Anolis sagrei: one gene and its partners. The protein of the gene in region 2 interacts with the protein of the main gene of each other region in a pairwise test. Links are inferred from orthologs where the notes say so. Each region holds a gene or a part of one and is shown on either strand. Other genes may lie near its edges.

Region 1 (7,169 bases), on a different chromosome or scaffold from region 2:
AGAAATATAGATATTTATTGATTTATGCATAAAATCATATGTACTTTATAAGCACTGAAATGCATAGAAAAATCTAGTTCCCTCTGTGTATAGAAAGAATGCTAACGGACAAGCAAACTGCTTGTCTTCAGAAGGGGCTGAAGAGGGAGGGGTGACATTCCAGAGAAGAGAGATAAGCCTGTCCGAGAAGCCCATACTAAGGAGCAACGGGCTGGTACTAAGGAGCACCTCTTGACAGGTCAGAGAGGGCCCCTTTGATGGATGAGTGTAAGATGCTTGCTCTGCAGCAAGACATGCCTTTTTGCATGTGGAAGTTAGAACCTGATATTCTTATGATGCTCAGATGACGTAGGGATGATGATGATTGTATGTTGTAGCATGTTCTTTGTTTGCTTGAACCTGGAAAACTATAAAAGCCACAGTCCACACCTATTTCAGTTGCTCTGGTGTTTTTTGGGAGTTGACTCCACACCAGGCCCCAGCTGGTAAATAAAATCCATGCTTTCAAACCTCCGGACCTCTCTTTGTCTCTTTTCCTCAAAACCTATTCCTTGCCATTTCAATAATATAATATATTATTATATATTATATTAATTATTATATATATTTATTATTGCATTGTATATTATTATATTATATATTATTAAATTTATATGTACATAGCAACACAGCACACAAGTGAAATTGAGCAATTTAAGACAACCGCAGATAGTAAGATCAGGGCCTTGGATAGCAAAACCTGAAGGGTGGATACCGAGATCCAATAAGCGAATGCTGGTATTGGCAGCAGGCCACCCGTGGATCTGTGTGCCTGGTGAGACATAGAAGCTACCCAGTGTTCCCAAATAAATCTCACCAAGTTGAAGAAGCCGCCACCGAGGTAATTTATTAAAATCAGATGAAGTGATGCCAGCTTGCGGTAATCCACCTAGGCTCTGTCGACGTCATGAACAGCTGAAGGAGGATTCCCTGCAGAGGCGGGTTTGTAGCCAATAGGATTTTGTTCCCTGCTTCATATATATATATATTGTCGTGTCAGGAGTGACTTGAGAAACTACAAGTCGCTTCTGGTGTGAGAGAACTGGCTGTCTGCAAGGACGTTGCCCAGGGGATGCCTGGATGTTTTGATCCTTTATCATCCTAGTGGGAGGCTTCTCTTGTGTCCCCACATGAGGAGTTGGAGCTGATAGAGGGAGCTCATCCGCACTCTCCCCAGATTTGAACCTATGACCTGTCGGTCTTCAGTCCTGCTGGCACAGGGGTTTAACCCACTGTGCCACCGGGGGCTCCATTTATTTAGATAATTTCTATCCCGTCCTTCTCATCTCCAAGGAGAGATTCAGGCTGCTAACAGGCACCCTTCGGTGCCAAACAATACACAACATAAAATACATTTAATCGCCAATAAAAACAGTTATAAATACATAAAAAACATGTTGCCATTTCATATCATCCTCCGAATAATCCACAGCCATTCGTTCAATAGTCAATTAAAATCATCTTCAGTCCATTGCCATCCGCAAAACCAGTCCATTAAAACCCTCTATCTAGGGAATGCTTGATCCCATAACCAGGTTTTTTAGCTTTTTCCGGAAGGCCATGAGGGAGGGGGCAGATCTAATCTCATTCGGGAGGGAGTTCCACAGCCAAGGAGCCACCACTGAGAAGGCCCTGTCTCTCGTTCCCACCAACCGTGATTGAGATGGTGGTGGGACTGAGAGCATGGTCTCTCCAGACGATCTTAAGGTCCTTGGGGGTTCGTAGAGAGAGATACATTTGGACAGGTAAGCTGGACCAGAGCCGTTTAGGGTTTTATAGGTCAAGGCCAGCACTGTGAATTGTGCTCAGAATCTAATAGGCAGCCAGTGGAGCTGGCTTAACAGGGGAGTTGTACATTCCCTGTACCCTGCTCCTGTGAGCAGCCTGCCTGCCGAGCATTGGACTAGCTTAAGCTTCCGAGTAGTCTTCAGATTCCCGCTCTCCAATGGCTGATGGGGGGCAGGGTTGTCTGGGAGACAAAGGAAGTGTGAAGAGGTCTTAATGGGACAAACAAAGGGGGTCATCAGGTCCCATGTGTTTTATTATAAAGATAATTGTGATATGAGTCCCCAGCGAATAAGTCCAGCACCTTTGGCCCTGCTGTCCATTGAGTCAAAAGCATAGATATTGTCCATGTTGACAGGATTAAGCAGTTTGTTCCTGGGAAAGGGGAAATGTTATTGTTATTGTATATGCTGGTCTTGGCCTATAAAACCCTATACGACTCCGGCCCAGCTTACTTGTCCGAACGTATCTCCTTCGACGTTCCACCTTGTAGTTCAAGATCAACCGGCGAAGCCCTGCTCTTGGTCCCACCAGCTTCACAAATGCGTCTGGTGGGGACGAGGGACAGGGCCTTCTCAGTAGTGACCCCCCACTTGTGGAATTCACTCCCCAGCAAAACCAGTTTGGCTTCTTCCCTCCTTTCCTTTAGGAAAAAACTGAAATCATGGTTTTGGAACCAGGCCTTTGTCCAGCAGGCATGATAGCACTTTGGACATCGAACTGGACTATATGACTGTGATAATAATGGAAATGACTATATGACTGTGATAATAATATTTAATTGTTTTTAATCTATTGTTCTATTTATTGTTTTATATTGCTGTAATTTGTTATATTTGCGGCATCAAATTGTTGCCAGTGTAAGCCGCTCTGAGTCCCCAGGGGTTGAGAAGAGCCGGGTAGAAATGTTGCAAATAAATAAATAAATAAATAAATAAATTGTTGGACAGTGGAGCATGACCTCCCTGTGTACAGATAGTCATGCCAGGTGATGGGTGGCATTGTACTGTCCCAGTGACTGAGGCAAAGGACGGGTGGCCCTGCAAATGCCAAGAAGCAGGAATATTGCATTCAAATCACCCCTGACAGATGGCCATCCAGCCTCTGTTTAAAAGCTTCCAAAGAAGGAGCCTCCACCACACTCCGGGGCAGAGAGTTCCACTGCTGAATGGCTCTCAGAGTCAGGAAGTTTTTCCTCATGTTCAGATGGAATCTCCTCTCTTGTAGTTTGAAGCCATTGTTCCGCGTTCTAGTCTCCAGGGAAGCAGAAAACAAGCTTGCTCCCTCCTCCCTGTGGCTTCCTCTCACATATTTATACATGGCTATCATATCCCCTCTCAGCCTTCTCTTCTTCAGGCTAAACATGCCCAGCTCCTTAAGCCGCTGCTCATAGGGCTTCTTCTCCAGACCCTTTATCATTTTAGTTGCTCTCCTCTGGACACATTCCAGCTTGTCAATATCTCTCTTGAATTGTGGTGCCCAGAATTGGACACAATATTCCAGGTGTGGTCTAACCAAAGCAGAATAGAGGGGTAGCATTACTTCCCTAGATCTAGACACTATGCTCCTATTGATGCGGGCCAAAATCCCATTGGCTTTTTTTGCCGCCACATCACATTGTTGGCTCATGTTTAACTTCCTGTCCACGAGGACTCCAAGATCTTTTTCACACGTACTGCTCTCGAGCCAGGCATTGTCCCCCATTCTGTATCTTTGCATTTCGTTTTTCCTGCCAAAATGGAGTATCTTGCATTTGTCACTGTTGAACTTCATTTTGTGAGTTTTGGCCCATCTCTAATCTGTCAAGATCCCTTTGAATCCTGCTCCTGTCCTCCGGAGTATTGGCTCTCCCTCCCAATTTGGTGTCGTCTGCAAACTTGATGATCCTGCCTTCTAGCCCTTCATCTAAGTCATTAATAAAGATGTTGAACAGGACCGGGCCCAGGATGGAACCCTGCTTATGGCACTCCGCTTGTCACTTCTTTCCAGGATGAAGAGGAAGCATTGGGGAGAATCACCCTCTGGGTTCGTCCATTTAACCAATTACAGATTACAATATACAGATAATATATTATTATCACTGTATTATATATCCATTATTATCATTATATTTAAATGTACATAACAACCCATTTTAAACACTGGCCTTTTTATCCCTTTTAACACCAGGCAGGCCTTTCCTTTCCAGTCTTGGGTTTGTCCAGCCTGTGTTAAAAATGTCCTTGCTTTCAGGCCCTGGCATTGCAAAGCACCGCTTTCCGCCGAAGTTTGAGCCCGGCGCCTCGCCGTTGCGACGTTGCCATAGCGACGCGGCCTAGTCCTGGAAAGCGACGCGGGGAAGCCTGGCCGAGGGAGAGAGAGAAACGAACAGACACAGAGACCCAGTTGGCGCCCTTACAGGGACCATGTCTTTCCGCGACCTCCGCAGTGAGTCCCATGGCATCATCATCATCGTTGTTATTATTATTATTGTTATTGTTATTATTGTTATTATTCCTCGCTGGAGGGTATAAAAAGGAAATCTAGAGGCCCCGAGGCCTGAGAATGGGGAAGGAGGCCCGCCCCGGATCTGCTTCACTGCCTGTTTTATCTAACTTGTCTCTTTCCCCGCATTTTCGAATCCTCTATCTAGATAGATAGATAGATAGATAGATTATCTTCTATATAAATAAAAATGTAATGTTCGTTTGTGGGATTAACAGAACTCAAAAACCACTGACACCAATTTTGGACACAAGACACCTAACAACACAATGTATGTCCTTCACTAAAAAAATTGATTTTGTCATTTGGGAGTTTTAGTTGCTGGGATTTATAGTTCACCTACAATCACAGAGCCTTCTGAACCCCACTAACGATGGAATTGAACCAAACTTGGCACACAATTCTCCCATGACCAACAGAAAATACTGGTGGGCAGTGTCCTTTGGTTTTGGAGTTGTAGTTCACCTACATCCAGAGAGCACTGTGGACTCAAACAATGATGGATCTGGAACAAACTACACAAATACTCAATATGTCCAAATGTGAACACTGGTGGAGTTTGGGGAAGATAGACATTGACATTTGGGAGTTGTAGTTCCTGGGATTTATAGTTCACCTACAATCACAGAGCATTCTGAACCCAACCAATGATAGAATTGGGCCAAACCTCCCACACAGAACCCCCATGTGGGCCACAGCAACGCGTGGCAGGGGACGGCTAGTATATATATATATATATAGAGAGAGAGAGAGAGAGAGAAATATATATATGTGTGTGTGTGTGTGTGTGTAATCTATCTATATAAATATCTATGTAGGTATAGGTAATCTATCGATATCTATGTAATCTGTCTATGTAATCTATCTATCTATATGTAATCTATATATAGTTTATCTATGTAATCTATCTATGTAATCGATCTTTGTAGGAGGTAGATTACATAGATAGATAGATGATAGAGGTAAATAGATAGATTACACATTTATTTATTTTGCATATTTGTATCCTGCCCTTCTTGCCCCTGGAGGGGGACGCAGGTTGGCTTCACAACCAATGCTAACAACAGTTATAAATGATAAAAGTAACTAAAACAATTAGTTAATGCTTTAAAATTACTAAAACATTGTTTAAATTACACAGGTTTGAAATCATAGTCCAGGTCAGTCCATTGTCATTCACACAAATTGGGCCTCATTCTAAATTGCTTCCTCTACTGTTTGAACGCTTGGTCCCATAACCAGGTTTTGAGTTTCATTTTAAACTACAAGAGGGAGGGGGGCAATCTAATGTCACTGGGTAGAGAATTCCACAGGTGAGGGGCCACCATTGAGATATACCACAGATAGATTACATATATATAAATAGTTAGATCTATGTAATCTATCTTTGTGTGGAGCCCCCAGTGGCACAATGGGTTAAATCCTTGTGTCGGCAGGACTGCTGACCGACAGGTTGGCAGTTCGAATCTGGGGAATGGGGTGAGCTCCCATCTCAGTTCCAGCTCCCCATGTTTAGACATGAGAGATGCCTCCCACAAGGATGATAAAGCATCAAAACATCCGAGAGTCCCCTAGGCAATGTCCTTGCCAACGGCCAATTCCCTCACACTAGAAGCAACTTGCAGTTTCTCAAGTTGCCCCTGACATGAAAAAAAAATCTATCATAGTAATCTGTCTCTATCCATCCATCCATCAATCTATCTATCTATCTATCTATCTATGTAATGTATCTATTTATCTATATCTATCTATGTCCATGGTTCTCAACCTGTGGGTCCCCAGATGTTTTGGCCTTCAACTCCCAGAAATCCTAACAGCTGGTAAACTGGCTGGGATTTTTGGGAGTTGTAGGTCAAAACACCTGGGGATCCACAGGTTGAGAACCACTGACTATGTAATCTATCTGTCTGTCTGTCTGTCTGTCTAATCTATATAACCATAGAATTGGAAGAGACTTTGTGGGCTATCTAGTCCAGTACATGGATGTATAGATATCTGTCTGTCTGTCCATCTGTCTTTGTCAATGGTTCCCAACCAGTGGTCCACAAGAACTAAAATATGATCCGCAAAACATTTAAAATTTTAAACCTTTATTCATTTTAATGAATTTGTTGCTAGGTGGGCAACGTCAGCGAGTAGGACATCAGGCCAGTCAGGAGTCTGGGGTGGAGGGCAAGTGATCGTTCAGTCAGTCGTACACATTCTTTTGTCTTGCTCGACTATGTCAGTGATTCTGTTTTGCTGTTTAGTGATTCAACGGCTCCAGTAGTTTTACTGACTGTGAACCCTCAATATTCATATTAATTTTTTACTTATTTAATGGTGACTGAAATGGAGAGGCTTAAGAAGAAATCAAGGAAGAGCTCATTGAATTTCAAAATGATAGAAACTGCAAGGACGTGTTTGAATCTGATTCTCTTGAGGAGTTTTGGTGCAAAAAAGTGATTTTTTTATTCTAAAATTCAAGGAATTGCCTTGCACTATCTTATGCTCTTCTCCACAACTTTATGCAAACAAGGGTTTTCTGCTTTGCTGGTAATTAAAAACAAGTCCAGGAATCGATTGAAAGTAAATAATGATGTGGTTGTAGTTTTGAGCAATAATATTAGCCCCAGGAGTACCCTATTTGTAAGGAAGGTGCAAGCTCAAAAATCACATTGATGCAAACTAAATTTAATTTTCTATTTAAAATGTTCTTTTTTAAAATATTGTAATAGTACTCTTATTTCATGTTACTATTAAGTTTAATGAATATGTTAAAAGTTTTGATTAAAATTTATTTTTAGATTACACAGTTTTATTTATTATTCTTGAACCCTTTGGTCCCTGCTAACAACAAAGTGGTCCCTGATAATAAAAAA
Region 2 (7,893 bases):
TGTGGTTTTTTTTAAATGAGAGCTAAAAAGTGGCTTGGCCCAGATATATTTGGTACAAGTTCTGACTGTAAAAAGATACTTGAAAATATTACTGCTGGATCTTCTATTGATTTACACCAGGGCTTCTTAAACCTTTTCCACTCGTAACCTCGTTCCACCCGGGTGTATCGATATATGAAATAATAAAAAGTCAAACATTTACTGATAACAAATTGGCATTTGCAGGGCTTGTATTTAGGTGATTTTCCTTTTTACAAAATACAGTCAAAGCATATTTTGCCGAATCCACCGTAAACACTGCACACTGTTGCTAACAGATTTGAGTAAGTTCCTAAAACAGCCACCAGATTACTAAATTTATTGCGACCCCCATTTTCAGCTTACGGCGATTTTCATTGGGACCCACAGTTTTAAAGAAGCCATGATCTACAGAACATTTGCTTGCTTATTTTGTAAACTCTTCTACCAGGACTTTTCTTCTCTTTTTTTGTACTTTGTTTATTTTGTACTTTTTTCCCAGGGCAAAAGTCAAGGTTGCAGACATCAAGTGCACCAAAAATGTATCTCATGCAGAAGTTTTTCAGAAATTAAATAAACAAGGCAATTATTTGATACCAAGTTACAACAGATTTGTCCTTTTGATCTGTTTGCCTTGATTTTAACTTTAAGATTGTAAGTGTGATTGATACTATGTATATTATTTTTATCTTGTATGCTGTCCTGAGTCCCCTCACATAGACAATTACAACAGAAAGGAGGAAACCATGAAAATAAACAAAATCTGCTACCAGTATTTTTTTAAAAAAACCTCTAAAATCAGGACATTAAATAAAGAACACTGAAAAATGGGAATTCCAGACAAGAAACAATCAGGGCCAGCTAATAACCTCCCAATAAAGAATACACCGTATTGTCGAAGGCTTTAATGGTCGGAATCACTGGGTTGTGTAGGTTTTTTTGGGCTATATGGCCATGTTCTAGAGGCATTATCTCCTGACGTTTCACTTGCATCTATGGCAGGCATCCTCAGAGGTAGTGAGGTCTGTTGGAGTTAGGAGAATGGGTTTATATATCTGTGGAATGACCAGGGTGGGACAAAGAACTCTTGTTTGCTGGAGCTAGGTGTGACTGTTTCAAATGACTACTTTGATTAGCATTGGATGGCCTGGCAGTGCCTGGGGCAATCTTTTGTTGAATGGTGATTAGATGTCCCTGATTGTTTTCCCTCTGTTGTTTTGCTGTTGTAATTTTGATAATGATGGTGATGAATTTGTGATTTTACCTTGACGATTTGGCTGCATGTCATTATTTGATCTGTACTGTAATGTATTTTAATGTATTATGATGTTATTATGTTTTAGCTTATTTCTGTATGAATTTTCTGTTGTTAGCCGGCCTGAGTCCCTCTTCGGAGGTTGAGAAGACCGGGTTATAAAAGCTCTAAATAAATAAATAAATTTAGAGGTTTTTTTTAATACTGGTAGCCAGGATTAGAGGCGGCCCTAGGTAATTTTCAAAGGTAAGCAAACAGTATTTTGCCCCCTCCCCAACCAATCACTGATATATATTTTCTGTTCGTCATGGGAGTTCTGTGATTCAGTTCCATCATTGGTGGAGTTCAGAATGCTCTTTGATTGTAGGTGAACTATTTTATTTATTTATTTGTCGTGTCAGGGCAACCAGTCAATTATATTACATTTCTAACAGAACAAAGCAAACAAACAGACAAAATACAACATTTGTGAATTTGGTAGTTGATTAAATGTCCTTTGACCAGTATCTAGCCACTTGGAGTGCTTCTGGTGTTGCTGCAAGGAGGTCCTCCCTTGTGCATGTGGCTGGGCTCAGGTTGCATTGCAGCAGGTGGTCAGTGGTTTGCTCCTCTCCACATTCGCATATCAAGGATTCCACTTTGTAGCCCCATTTCTGAAGGTTGGCTCTGCATCTTGTGGTGCCAGAACGCAGTCTGTTCAGCGCCTTCCAAGTCGCCCAGTCCTCTATGTGCCCAGGGGGGAGTTTCTCATTTGGTATCAGCCATTGGCTGAGGTTCTGGGTTTGAGCCTGCCACTTTTGGACTCTTGCTTGCTGAGGTGTTCTGGCGAGTGTCTCTGTAGATCTTAGAAAACTATTTCTAGAATTAAGTCGTTGACGTGCTGGCTGATACCCAAACAGGGGATGAGCTGGAGATGTCTCAGGTGAACTATACATCCCAGTAACTACAACTCGCATATGTCAACGTCTATTTTCCCCCAAGAGTGCCTCAAGAGCGCCCCTGGGCAAAATCAACTATACTGCAAATGCTTACTTTGCGTAATGGGTTGAGCCGCCCCTGGCCAGGATACACCCCAGGCAGCAACCAGCCAGATCTTGAAACTGCAAGGCTATTAAATGCTAATCAAGGTGGCCAATTGCAACATTCACACCTGCCTCAAACGGACAAGAGTTCTTTCTTCCACCTTGAACATTTCACAAATATATAAACCCATTTTTCCTAGTTTCCAAGAGACCTCACAATTTATTTATTTTATTTATTTTATTTGCTTTATTTCTATACCGCATTTTTCAGCCCAAACATCCTCACAACCTCTGAGGATGCCTGCCATAGATGCAGGCGAAACGTCAGGAGAGAATGCTTCCAGGCTTCCATAGAGCCTGGAAAACTTAAAGCAACCCAGTGATGAAAGCTTTCGACAATACAAAGAATAGCATTACTAGGCCTGGTCCAAGTTGGGCCCTCCAGGTGTTTTGGACTTTAACTCCCACAATTCCTAACAGCCTACGGCTGTTAGGAATTGTGGGAGTTGAAGTCCAAAACACCTGGAGGGCCCAAGTTGGACCAGGCCTGGCTGACACTAATAATGCAGCGCATTGTGAGTCTACACTAATGCAGTGAGTCTCACAGTGCAGCTGCGGCCTAGCGTTGGGCCTTGTCTCTCATCCCCGGGCACGCTTACCGGCCATCCCCGCCGCTGCCGGAGGAGGAGGAGGGAGCGAGGCCCAGCCTCTCGCCTCAAGCTCCGCCCCAGCCTCCGCCTCCTTCTCCCGGGGGCCTCCAAGGCCTGGCTGGGTCTCCCTTCAGCCTCCCGCCATGAGGGGCCCCGCCGAGCCCTACTGAGCTGAGAGGGTGAGTGAGGGCAGCGCTTGCGGCCTAGTCGTCGGTTGAGCGGGCAAGGGGAGGTGGGTTGGGTTGGGTTGGGGGAGTCCCCTGTGGTCTCCATGGAAATGCGTTGCTGGGGATGATAGGTAAAGGCAGCTCCCACTTGGGCAGGCTCTGCTACTCCCTCCTGCCTTTGCAGTTGAAGTATATTATCATTGGGTTGTTGTAGGTTTTTCCGGGCTATATAGCCATGTTCTAGAGGCATTTTCTCCTGACGTTTCGCCTGCATCTATGGCAAGCATCCTCAGAGGTAGTGAGGTTTGTTGGAGTTAGGAAAATGGGTTCATATATATCTGTGGAATGACTGGGGAAGAGCTCTTTGCCCCACCCCAGTCATTCCACAGATATATAAACCCATTTTCCTAACTCCAACAGACCTCATCACCTCTGAGGATGCTTGTCATAGATGCAGGCAAAACGTCAGGAGAAAACACCTCTAGAACATGGCCATATAGCCCAAAAAAACCCACAAGAACCTAGTGATTCCAGCCATGAAAGTCTTCGACAATATATTATGATTATTATCAGAGGCAGAACTTTCAAAAGGATGGGAGCCTTCTGAAGGGGAAGCACTGACATGGCTAAACAGTTTTCCAGCAAAGGGCGACTAAAATGATCAAGGGTCTGGAGAACAAGCCCTATGAGGAGCGGCTTAAGGAGCTGGGCATGTTTAGCCTGAAGAAGAGAAGGCTGAGAGTGGATATGATAGCCATGTATAAATATGTGAGAGGAAGCCACCGGGAGGAGGGAGCAAGCTTGTTTTCTCCTTCCCTGGAGACTAGGACGCGGAACAATGGCTTCAAACTACAAGAAAGGACATTCCATCTGAACATGAGGAAGAACTTCCTGACTGAGAGCTGTTCAGCAGTGGAACTCTCTGCCCCGGAGTGTGGTGGAGGCTCCTTCTTTGGAAGCTTTTAAACAGAGGCTGGATGGTCATCTGTCAGGGGTGATTTGAATGCAATATTCCTGCTTCTTGGCAGGGGGTTGGACTGGATGGCCCATGAGGTCTCTTCCAACTCTTTGATTCTATGATTCTATAATGAGAAAGTGTTGGTTTCTAATATATGTAATTTCTTTATCCTTGTGGGTAAACAGTATTTGATTACGTTTTCTTGCCCTGGTGAAAGGAGTTGGACTGGATGGCCTTAAGTATTTTCTATTGGCTATAGGGGTTCTGTGTGGGAAGTTTGCCTCAATTCTGTCTTTCGTGGGGTTCAGAATGCTCTTTGATTATAGGTGAACTATAAATCCCAGTAACTACAACTCCCAAATGTCAAGGTCTATTTCTCCCAATTGGGTTGTTATGTGTCTTGTGTCCAAATTTGGTGTCAATTCGTCCAGTGTTTTTTGAGTTCTGTTAATCCCACAAACGAACATTACATTTTTATTTATATAGACTAGAATGAGATAATTGGAAGAGACTGCAAAGGGACACATTAATAAAAGTGGTCCCAGTGGTGATCAGCACACTGAGTGCAGTGTCTAAAGACCTTGGCCTGCACTTAAAAACAATTGGCGCTGAGCAAATTACCATCTGTCAGCTGCAAAAAGCCACCCTACTGTGATCTTCACGCATTATTCGCTGATACATCACACAGTCTTAGACATGGAAGCCCACCTTGGACAAGTCATACTCTTTCAGGGTGCATCTACACTGTAGAACCAATGCAGTTTGATACCATTTTAACTGTCGCGTCTCAGAGTTATGGAATCCTGGGAGTTGTGGTGTGGTGAAGCACCAGCACTTTTTGGCAAAGAAGGCCTTACGGATTAGAATGACAACTGCTAGAATTCCATAGCATTGAACCACGGCATTTAAAGTGGCAGTAATTACACAGTTGTTGTGCAATTAATGTAGATGCAGCATCAGAAGAAGGCAAGCCAACCCTCTGAACAAATCTTGCCCAGAAACCGCTTTGATTGTGTCACCATAAATTGGAAGCAACTTGATGGCATAGAACAACAAAATGAGATATAACCCAAAAACATTGTAAGCCCGGCTTACACATATTATATCAATATAAACATATGGCTAAAAGTATGGTAGTTTACTTTTGAAGCTTCTAATGTGAATGTCCTCCAGTTAGAGCTGTTGTTATTACCCAATTACAGTCATCCTTCAAATCAGGTGGCGTCATCTTCACATGTCAGAAGCAACCACAGTTGCTTTCATTGTTGCTGGTGTTTTGTAGTTGCTGATTTTGTTAATATTTCTGGTAGTTTAGCTACAATATTTCTGGTAGTTTAGCTACTATTGTCTGGTTGCTCCTGACACGATATATAAATAAGCTACAATATTGCGGTGCGGTATGATAGGGTTCCATAGGGGTGACACTATGAATTACCATACTGGATGACATCAACATAGTGGCATTACCATGGGAAAGGTAGCTTTCATGTCGTTTCTCCTTTTTCTCCCCATTTCCAGCTTCCCAAATAAAGGAAAAGTCAAATCAGTTCAGCAGCCACAGCCACAGCTCTTTGGGATTTCTAGAGGGGTTTTTTAAAGAAAGTAATAAAACCCTGTACATACTTAAGAAAGCTCTGATGTATTGCTTCTTATTTTTTTCATGGCAACCAACATTGAGAACACATTTTGGGGTGGGCTTCTAACAAACCTCAGTTAAACCTGGGGTTTATTTCTTACCTCTTTGATTATTGCTTGTAAATTCTTCATTCTGTGGACCACTCAGAAAATAAAGGTTCAGTATCACTTATCCCTTGTGCTTGGATTTCTGATTTATTTTTAGATTTTGTTACATATGTTGTGCATGAAGTAAAATGTGTGTGTACATTGAACAATCAGAAAGCAAGGATCACTTTCTCAGCCTCACATGTAGACAATTTTTGATTTTAATTTCTGGATAAGGGATACTCAACCAGTACAAGTTGGTTGGGAATTCACGTTTAATGTCAGAATCACAGATTTCCATATGTAGAAAGTGTGAATGTGAGATATTTATGGTTTGTTCTCTCACCTCCTCAACTTAAGAGTACTCTATATATGTTTTGCTTCAGTAGAAATAAAAGGCATTGCTGATGGAGACTATAGGAATCCAGTTTGGAATCAGAAGTTGTGGTGGCATCTCCTATTAGCTGTAGACATCAGTTGCCTTATAGGTTTCTGTAGTTTAGTGCTTCCTTCTGCAACATGCATATTCGGTTCTACTCTGGAAGACCTCCTGATGTGGTATGAATATTTTATGCATTTTTTGAGTCAGGTGAATCTGAGAGTGAGAGCCTCTCCTTTGTTTTTTTTTTAAAGAGCATAACCATGTAAAAGTGGCAATAGTTAATGTTGACTTTTAGAGAGTGCTTCTCCATTTAAGTCCTCCCCTGTTGCTTTTAGGGAAGGAAATATCTGCAATTTCCTAATGTACCGCTAGACAGATATAAAAAGGTAAAGGTTTTCCCACAACATTAAGTCAACATTAACTTTGAGGTGGTGATGTTCACCTCAATTCCTAAGCTGAACAGCCGGCGTTGTTCATAGTTGCCTTCTAGGTCATGTGGCCGGCATGACTGCATGGAGTGCCGTTACCTTCCCACTGTAGCGGTACCTATTGATGTCACATTTGCATGTTTTTGAACTGCTAGGTTGGCAGAAGCTGGGGCTAACAGCGAGAGCTCACCCCGTCCCACAGATCCAAATCGCCTTCCAGACAGCAAGTTCTGCAGCTTAGTGATTTAACCCACTGCACCACCACAGCCCCTTCAGATAGATATATCCTGCTTTAAAGTTGGAAATTGGATGAACCTCTGGCTTCTTTATAGCCATTTTTTGTGTGTCAGGAGCGACTTGAGAAACTGTGAGAGAATTGGCTGTCTGCAAGGACATTGCCTAGGGGATTCCCAAATGATTTGATGTTTTTACCATCCTTGTGGGTGGGTTCTCTCATGTCCCTGAATGGGGAGCTGGAGCTAACAGAGGAAGCTTATCCGCACTCTCCCCGGATTTGAACCTTCGACCTGTGTGGCTTCAGTCCTGCCGGCACAAGGGTTTAACCCATTGCGAAACCAGGGGCTCCATTTCCATATAGCCATAAAATGCTGTGATACAAGACTAGTTGAGTGAGTGCTTCCGCTCTGGCATATGAATAATATGCATTCTGGGGAAGAAAGCGCATACATTTAGCTCGTAAGTGTCATTGTGACTCTATATATGTTTGTTTTGAAGAAGAGGGACAAGGAAGCTTCCTAACAGTTTAATAATCATAACTCGCTGTCCTCATTTAAATAAGTATTCCAGCTATATACATAATGATCATTCTTAATATTCATTTAAAACTTTCACATTGTAAATGTACATCACATACATTATTTTGTAATCCTTGCATTGAAATTACTTAATTGTGCTGTCTTGTCAGTTGTTATGAAGGAACTCCATTAATTAATTGCAGTAGATGCATAGTGGTTGACCTAATCTGTTTGATATTTTTTTTACGTCAGCTTAAGCCAAAGCTGCTTAAATGGGGGTGAGTGGGTAAAAACTCTTTAAAAGTGTTCTAATCATGAATTTTAGTGGTTGCAATCTTAGTTACGCAAGTTGTCTGTCACATGAGAACAGGGCATTGAAACAGATTAGGCAGGACATTCGTTGTGATGCTTCCCCGATTGTGATCCCAGATGTTTACCAGGTAAATGTTAGTCCATCTGTTACATTTGTGCTTTATAAACCAGAAAGAAACCTTTCGTATATAGAAATGTTGATCTTCCTGGCTGTCCCTTGGTAA
Region 3 (6,944 bases), on a different chromosome or scaffold from region 2:
TTTGATATGAAATAAATAGTGCTCCAATCCCCACTCTGCCATAGAAACCCAATGGATAATATTGGTGAAGTCGTATTCATTTCAGCCTAAGAGGAAGGCAATAGCAGACATACTCTGACAAAAACTTTGCCAAGAAAACCATATTATAGGGCCTCCTATAAGTTGGAAACCATTGGAAAACACCAAACAGCAAAACAACTAATGATGTTAAGCCCCATCACTCATGATCTCCAAGAAAATTCTCAGGAACCATTTGTATTCCTTGGCCTTATCTTGTTATGTGCTATTTCTTTTATAACAATTGTATTTCATTTTAGCATTTTGTCAGGTGTAATGTCTAATTTATGGTTGTCACGGGCTTTTATTAACCCTAGTGCTTTATTTTAGCATCCGCACTGCCTAAAGAGGGGTTTGTGCCCAAAAGGCAACCTCAACAGGTTTACTATCTTTTAAAGAAAAACAGTAATAACAGTGTAAATCATCAATCCTCATTGCTCCAGACTCCAGTCTCACTGAGAATACACATACCAAATACTTGCTTAGATTTTGTCTCAGTTGCAAAGTTGAAATTCCATTGCTTGATGTGATCTGCTGCATTGGTGGTACTTTTTGACAGTGAAGACAGTTCTCTATTTTGCTCTGCTCTTGATGCATTTGTGTTTACAGAAACGTTTTGTGTCATTGCCTGGGAAGCAATAATATCAATTTCCTCCAAGTCATCTGCAGTGAAATCATCACTGTCCTGAAATGGATCTTCCATTTCTTTATGCCCAGTTGTGGCAAGGGTTTTATAGCGCTTATTGGGTGGAAATCCATCTCCATGGTTTCCAGTGTTACTTGCAGTTCTCTGGAAGGATGAAGTCGAAGCAGTCACTCTGGCCTGATCCACACCGTATAATATAGAGCTGTTTCTCTTCTTATTCCCAAATAAATGGTTCACTGACATTCTGTGTCAGGAATTATCCTAGCAAAAAGAAACCACAAAACAAGGTTAAAGCTGCCTATTTAAAATCAGTTCTGGGACCTCTATTTCCTCAGTACTTTTCAATGTGTTATTAAAGCCAACAGTAATCACCTTTTCAAGGAAATGATCAGGCCTTGCTCACAAATGCTCATGAGTGGGACCTAAACAAACCTACTGGAAGGTCTAATGCAGCGTTTCTCAACCTAGGGGTTGGGAACACTGGAGGGTCACCAGGGGGTGTCAGAGGGGTCACCAAAGACCATAAGAAAACACAGTATTTTCTGTTCGTCATGGGAGTTCTCTGTGGGAAGTTTGGCCCAATTCTCTCGTTGGTGGGATTCAGAATCTCTTTCATTGTAGATGAGCTATAAAGCCCAGCAACTACAACTCCCAAATGTCAAGGTCTATTTTCCCCAAACTCCACCATTTGGGCATATTGAGTATTCGTCCCAAGACTGGTCCAGGTCCATCATTGTTTGAGTCCACAGTGCTCTCTGGATGCAGGTGAACTTGTTGTTCATTCGTTCAGTCGCTTCCGACTCATGCACCAGCCCACGCCAGAGCTCCCTGTCGGCCGTTACCACCCCCAGCTCCTTCAAGGTCAAGCCAGTCACTTCAAGGATGCCATCCATCCATCTTGCCCTTGGTCGGCCCCTCTTCCTTTTGCCTTCCATTTTCTCCAGCATCATTGTCTTCTCTAAGATTTCCTTTCTTCTCATGATGTGGCCAAAGTACTTCAACTTTGTCTCTAATATCCTTCCTTCCAATGAGCAGTCGGGCTTTGTTTCCTGAAATATGGACTGGTTGGATATTCTTGTGGTCCAAGGCACTCTCTGAATTTTCCTCCAGCGCCACAGTTCAAAAGCATCTATCTTCCTTTGCTCAGCCTTACCTATGGCCCAGCTCTCACATCCGTAGGTGACTACAGGGAATACCATTGTTTTAAGTATGTGGATCTTCATTGCCAGTGTGATGTCTCTACTCTTCACTATTTTATCAAGATTGGTCATTGCTCTCCTCCCAAGAAGTAAACGTCTTCTGATTTCTGCAGTAATCTTTGCACCTTGAAATACAAAGTCTGTCACAGCCTCCACGTTTTCTCCCTCTATTTGCCAGTTATCAATCTGTCTGGTTGCCATAATTCTGGTTGAATTTATGTTTAACTGCAATCCAGCTTTTGCACTTTTGAACTACAACTCCAAAACTCAAGGTCAATGCCCATCAAACCCTTCCAGTATTTTCTCTTGGTCGTGGGGGTTCTGTGTGGGAAGTTTGGCCCAATACTCTCGCTGGTGGAGTTCAGAATGCTCTCTGATTGTAGATTAACTATAAATCCCAGGAACTAAAATTCCCAAATGACAAAATCAATCCTGCCCCCTACCTCACCAGTATTCAAATTTGGCCATATTTGTGCCAAATTTGGTCCAGTGAATGAAAATACATCCTGAATATCAGATATGTACATTACGATTCAAAACACTAGCAAAATTACAGTTATGAAGTAGCAACAAAAATAATTTTGTGGTTGGGGGTCACCACAACATGAGGAATTGTATTAAGGGGTCGCGGCATTAGGAAGGTTGAGAACCACTGGTCTAATGATTTGGACAAGCCGCAGGAACAAGGAGAATATCATGCCTGTAAATCAAGATCTGACTTTAGTGATATTTAGTAACAATCTGGATAACCCACAAGAAGAATGACATTTCTGGAAGTTTAGCAGAAGTATCACCACTACAAACCTCTTTAAAACAGACTGATATCCAAATCGTCACAATGGATACACACTTTAGAATTAATCCAGTTTGGCACCACTTCTAACTGCTGTGTCTCCGTGCTATGGGATCATGGGAATTGTAGCTCCACAAGGTCTACAACTCCCATGATTCCATAGGTGTGAGTAATAGCAGCTCAAACGGTGCCAAGTCGCACTCATTCTAGGGTGCAGATGCTCCCCCACGACCTCCCTGCACTCTCTCTGGACTTACCTTGGTTTTCCCGCGTCAGGAGAGGAGGCTCTGCAAGAAGGGCAGCAGCATCTGCCCGGCATCGCTTCCCCGGTCTCTGTCAACCAATAGGAAGCCAGCTCTCTCCCAATGACGTCCCATCCGGTCTATTGGGGGAGGGACGTGCAAAGAAAAGGTGACGCGCGAAATGGAAGGAGCTCACCCATTGGACGGGAGGGATTTCTTTTCCCTGTCTTTAGGATTCGTGACTAAACGCCAAGGATCCTTGCAAGCACAAAGTGTGAGGGGGTAGGGGGGCAGGTGGATGTGTTTTTTAATCTCGCCTCTTCCCACCCACACTATAGAAATAATCTAGTTTGGCATAGACACTGAGAACTGGGAAGCCCTGGCCCTTGAGCGCTCCAGCTGGAGGTCAGCTGTGACCAGCAGTGCTGCAGAATTGGAGGAGGCACAAGTGGAGGGTGAAAGAGTGAAACGTGCCAGGAGGAAGGCGCGTCAAGCCAACCACGACTGGGACCATCTTCCACCTGGAAACCAATGCCTTCACTGTGGGAGAAGATGCGGGTCAAGAATAGGGCTCCACAGCCACCTACGAATCCACAAGGAAACCCATCATAGAAAATCATCTTACTCGTCCAACGAGGGATCGCCTAAGTCAAGTCAATCTAGTTTGGCAGCCACTTTAAATGCCTTGGTTCAATGTTATGAAATCATGGGAGTTGAGTCCAGAACCTCAATCCATGGCTGATGTCAAATGAGAGACTCCCCCCTGGGCACACAGTAGACTGGGCGATTTGGAAGGCGCTGAACAGACTGCGCTCTGGCACCATAGGATGCAGAGCCAACCTTAAGAAATGGGGCCACAAAGTGGAATCCATGGCATGCGGGTGTGAAGAGCAAACCACAGACCACCTACTGCAATGCAACCTAAGCCCTGCCACATGCACAATGGAGGACCTTCTGATAGCAACACCAGAGGCACTCCAAGTGATCAAAGGACATTTAATAGAATGCCAAGTTGGCAAACTTTGTGATTTTTTTAAAAAATCCAATACAACTGTTTGGTTTGCTCCTGACACAATACATAAATAAGATGGGAGTTGTATTTTTCACAAGTGGCTGAGGGGGAAAAGGAAAGGGCCTGAGGATGTTAGTAATGATGGGAGTTGAAGTCCAAAACACCCGGAGGGCCGAAGTTGGCCCATGCCTGGTGTAGATTAGTATCATAAGTATAATGTCATTCGTTTTTTCTGTATTAATATGTACTGAAAGACGTTTGTTTTGTTTTGTCTAAGTCACAGCCACAAATGCATAAGAACAAAATCAGTTATGTGGTCCCTTCTGGAAAACATCTGCTTTTGCATAAATGTGCATAACCTCCCAACCTTTTGTCCTACAGGTTTGTGGATTTCAGCTCCCAGAAACCCCAACCAGCTTGGCCAACTGAAATGCACAAAGAGTGTAATCTTCTGACCACTTCTTTAGGAATATTGAACACATTGGGACTTATTTCTGAACCATGTTCCAAGTACTGCAGAGTTACTTACTCTTCAACCACTCCAACATAGAGATTCTTAATATGTGTTTCACAATGTTTATCTGGAAATTACCCTTTGTGGTTTTACAAAGATAAGAGGATTGCAACTTTGGGTCAGAAGATACGGGGAGGCATGGCAGCGTATTCTTCTACTTGGTGTTGTAAGGTGCCTAACTTAATGACCAAACATGGAGCAGCAGTCAGTCTTGCCTCTTTAGATAAGTTATCTAGCTGAGTTGTGCATTATATTATTCCCTCTGGCTGTTATAAGATTGGGGTGGCAGTACAGGAGAACAAGGATAGGCCTGCTAGTTTTCGCTGGACTACATCATTCTTCATTTTTGGCAATGCAGGTCAATAACATCTAGAGGACCTTTTCTAATGGCTTCTTCAACAGAAATTGAGCTATGTGGTTCAAACATCTTTACACCTTATGTCGACAATATTTAGGACAGAGGTTGCAAAAGTATTACCATGCCCTCTGGTAGTTCTACATTTACAATTCCAGGATCTCTGAGGATACTGTATTCCATAAGCCAACAACACCTTGAGGTTCATTTATATGTGAAGCTATCCAAGCAGGACAAGTATTTTCTACCCCTGTGACCTTCTATGAGCCACATGGGCTGTCAAAGCCAAACTCCCCAATCATGGAAATTATCACAAATATATTTCTAGTTTTGAAAGCGCAACTGTATTGGGCTTCCTGCAATATACAGTATTTAAAAGGTAAACTCCAATTCCTTTTTAAGGATTAATGAATGAATTTTATTACAGACCAAGAGTGTAAAACTTTAAAACATTAAAAACAAGAAGTTTTTTTTAAAAAAAAAAACTGTTAACATTAAGACCCGAAGTTCACAACATTAAAAGAAGAATGTCCATGATATGGAGTCGATCGTGTGCTTGGCTTCATATATGACACTGAGTATCTATATAAATAAAAATGTAATGTTCGTTTGTGGGATTAACATAACTCAAAAACCACTTGACAAATTGACACCAAATTTGGACACAAGACACCTACTAACCCAAGGCGTGATCATCACTCAAAAATTTGAGTTTGTCATTCAGGAGTTGTAGTTGCTGGGATTTATAGTTCACCTACAATCAAAGAGCATTCTGAGCACCAAAGATGGAATTGGACCAACCTTGGCACACAGAACTCCCATGACCACCAGAAAATACTGGAAGGAGTTGTTGAGCATTGGCCTTGAGTTTTGGAGTTGTAGTTCACCTACATCCAGAGAGCACTGTGGACTCAAACAATGATGGTTCTGGACCAAACTTGGCATGAATATTCCATATGCCCCAATATGAACACAGATGGAGTTTGGGGGAAATAGATCTTGACATTTGGGAGTTGTATTTACTGAGATTTATAGTTCACCTACAATCAAAGAGCTTTCTGAACCCCACGAACGATAGAACTGGGGCAAATTTCCCACACAGAACCCCTATGACCAATAGAATATACTTAAGGCAATCCAGTCCAACTCCCTTCACCAGGGCAAGAAAACATAATCAAATACTGTTTACACACAAGCATAAAGAAATTACACATATTAGAAACCAACACTTTCTCATGACTTTATTTTTTAGATCACTAGACTGGGCCACAGCAAGGCATGGCAGGGGATGGCTAGTGGATAATAAAACGAGTAAGTTAAAACTTTACCTGCCAAAATCGTCCACAAACTGCTTCCTTATTTTTATAGCTGACACACAAAACATAGCCACTCTATAAATGATCAATGGATCACTATAAGAAGTTTTAGATAATATTTATTTTTTTTATTTCACATATTTGTATCTTGTCCTTCTCGTGCCCCCCCCCCGGGGGGGGGGGGAGGATTCAGTGCAACTTCCCAACAGGCATCTATTTGATGCCAACATACAAATGATAAATAATAATTACAAATAAAACAGTTCATTAAAACATTAATTATTAAGACATTCATTTAAAATCACACAAGTTCATTTCTGCCAGGGATCTTTTATACAATGGGAGTAATAAAAACAGATAAAGTATCCTAATAGATGTGACATTCTAAAAGGGCATGCCTGGTAGTTTCTACTCTCTCCATACCGCATGGGCATACATGCTTATGGTAGGGGATACCTGTAAACCTTTTTAATGTTTTAATTTAACTTTTAATGCACAACTGCATCGGGCTTCGTGCAATCTACAGTATTTAAAAGCTGAACTGCAATTCTTTTTCAAGGATGGTACAAGAAGTCTGGAGGGCTAAACAGCTAAAAAACAACCTTAAAAGGTGCATCCACTCTTATATCCACACTTACAAGCTGTATCCCAAGGTCATACTTCATCTAACCTGTTATAGACACCATTATGTAGATCTTGCCTTTCTCCTCTGTTATTGCTCATGCAATTTTAATCAAGATCTAAAAGACCTTATAGGTTTCTATGTATATATCTTCACTTTCTTGTCTTTCTCTTGCTGCCTGTTTTTTG

What was found. The genes of interacting proteins can lie anywhere in the genome.
Region 1: the proteins of CINP (region 2) and CLUAP1 interact in binary tests that used the Homo sapiens proteins (3 or more experiments, as listed by UniProt). The two-hybrid records come from large-scale screens. The link is inferred for Anolis sagrei from reciprocal best matches to the Homo sapiens genes CINP and CLUAP1.
Region 3: the proteins of CINP (region 2) and ATRIP interact in binary tests that used the Homo sapiens proteins (3 or more experiments, as listed by UniProt). The link is inferred for Anolis sagrei from reciprocal best matches to the Homo sapiens genes CINP and ATRIP.

What each region holds. Positions count from the first base shown.
Region 1 is NC_090034.1:26,673,365-26,680,533, reverse strand, and holds the start of CLUAP1 (clusterin-associated protein 1), read left to right. Parts: upstream 1-4,107; 5' UTR 4,108-4,229; coding exon 4,230-4,251; intron 4,252-7,169. UniProt on the Homo sapiens protein: Required for cilia biogenesis. Appears to function within the multiple intraflagellar transport complex B (IFT-B). Key regulator of hedgehog signaling.
Region 2 is NC_090021.1:323,897,773-323,905,665, forward strand, and holds the start of CINP (cyclin-dependent kinase 2-interacting protein), read right to left. Parts: upstream 3,022-7,893; 5' UTR 2,962-3,021; coding exon 2,955-2,961; intron 1-2,954. UniProt on the Homo sapiens protein: Component of the DNA replication complex, which interacts with two kinases, CDK2 and CDC7, thereby providing a functional and physical link between CDK2 and CDC7 during firing of the origins of replication.
Region 3 is NC_090022.1:67,075,652-67,082,595, reverse strand, and holds the start of ATRIP (ATR-interacting protein), read right to left. Parts: upstream 3,063-6,944; 5' UTR 2,953-3,062; intron 965-2,952; 5' UTR 947-964; coding exon 529-946; intron 1-528. UniProt on the Homo sapiens protein: Required for checkpoint signaling after DNA damage. Required for ATR expression, possibly by stabilizing the protein.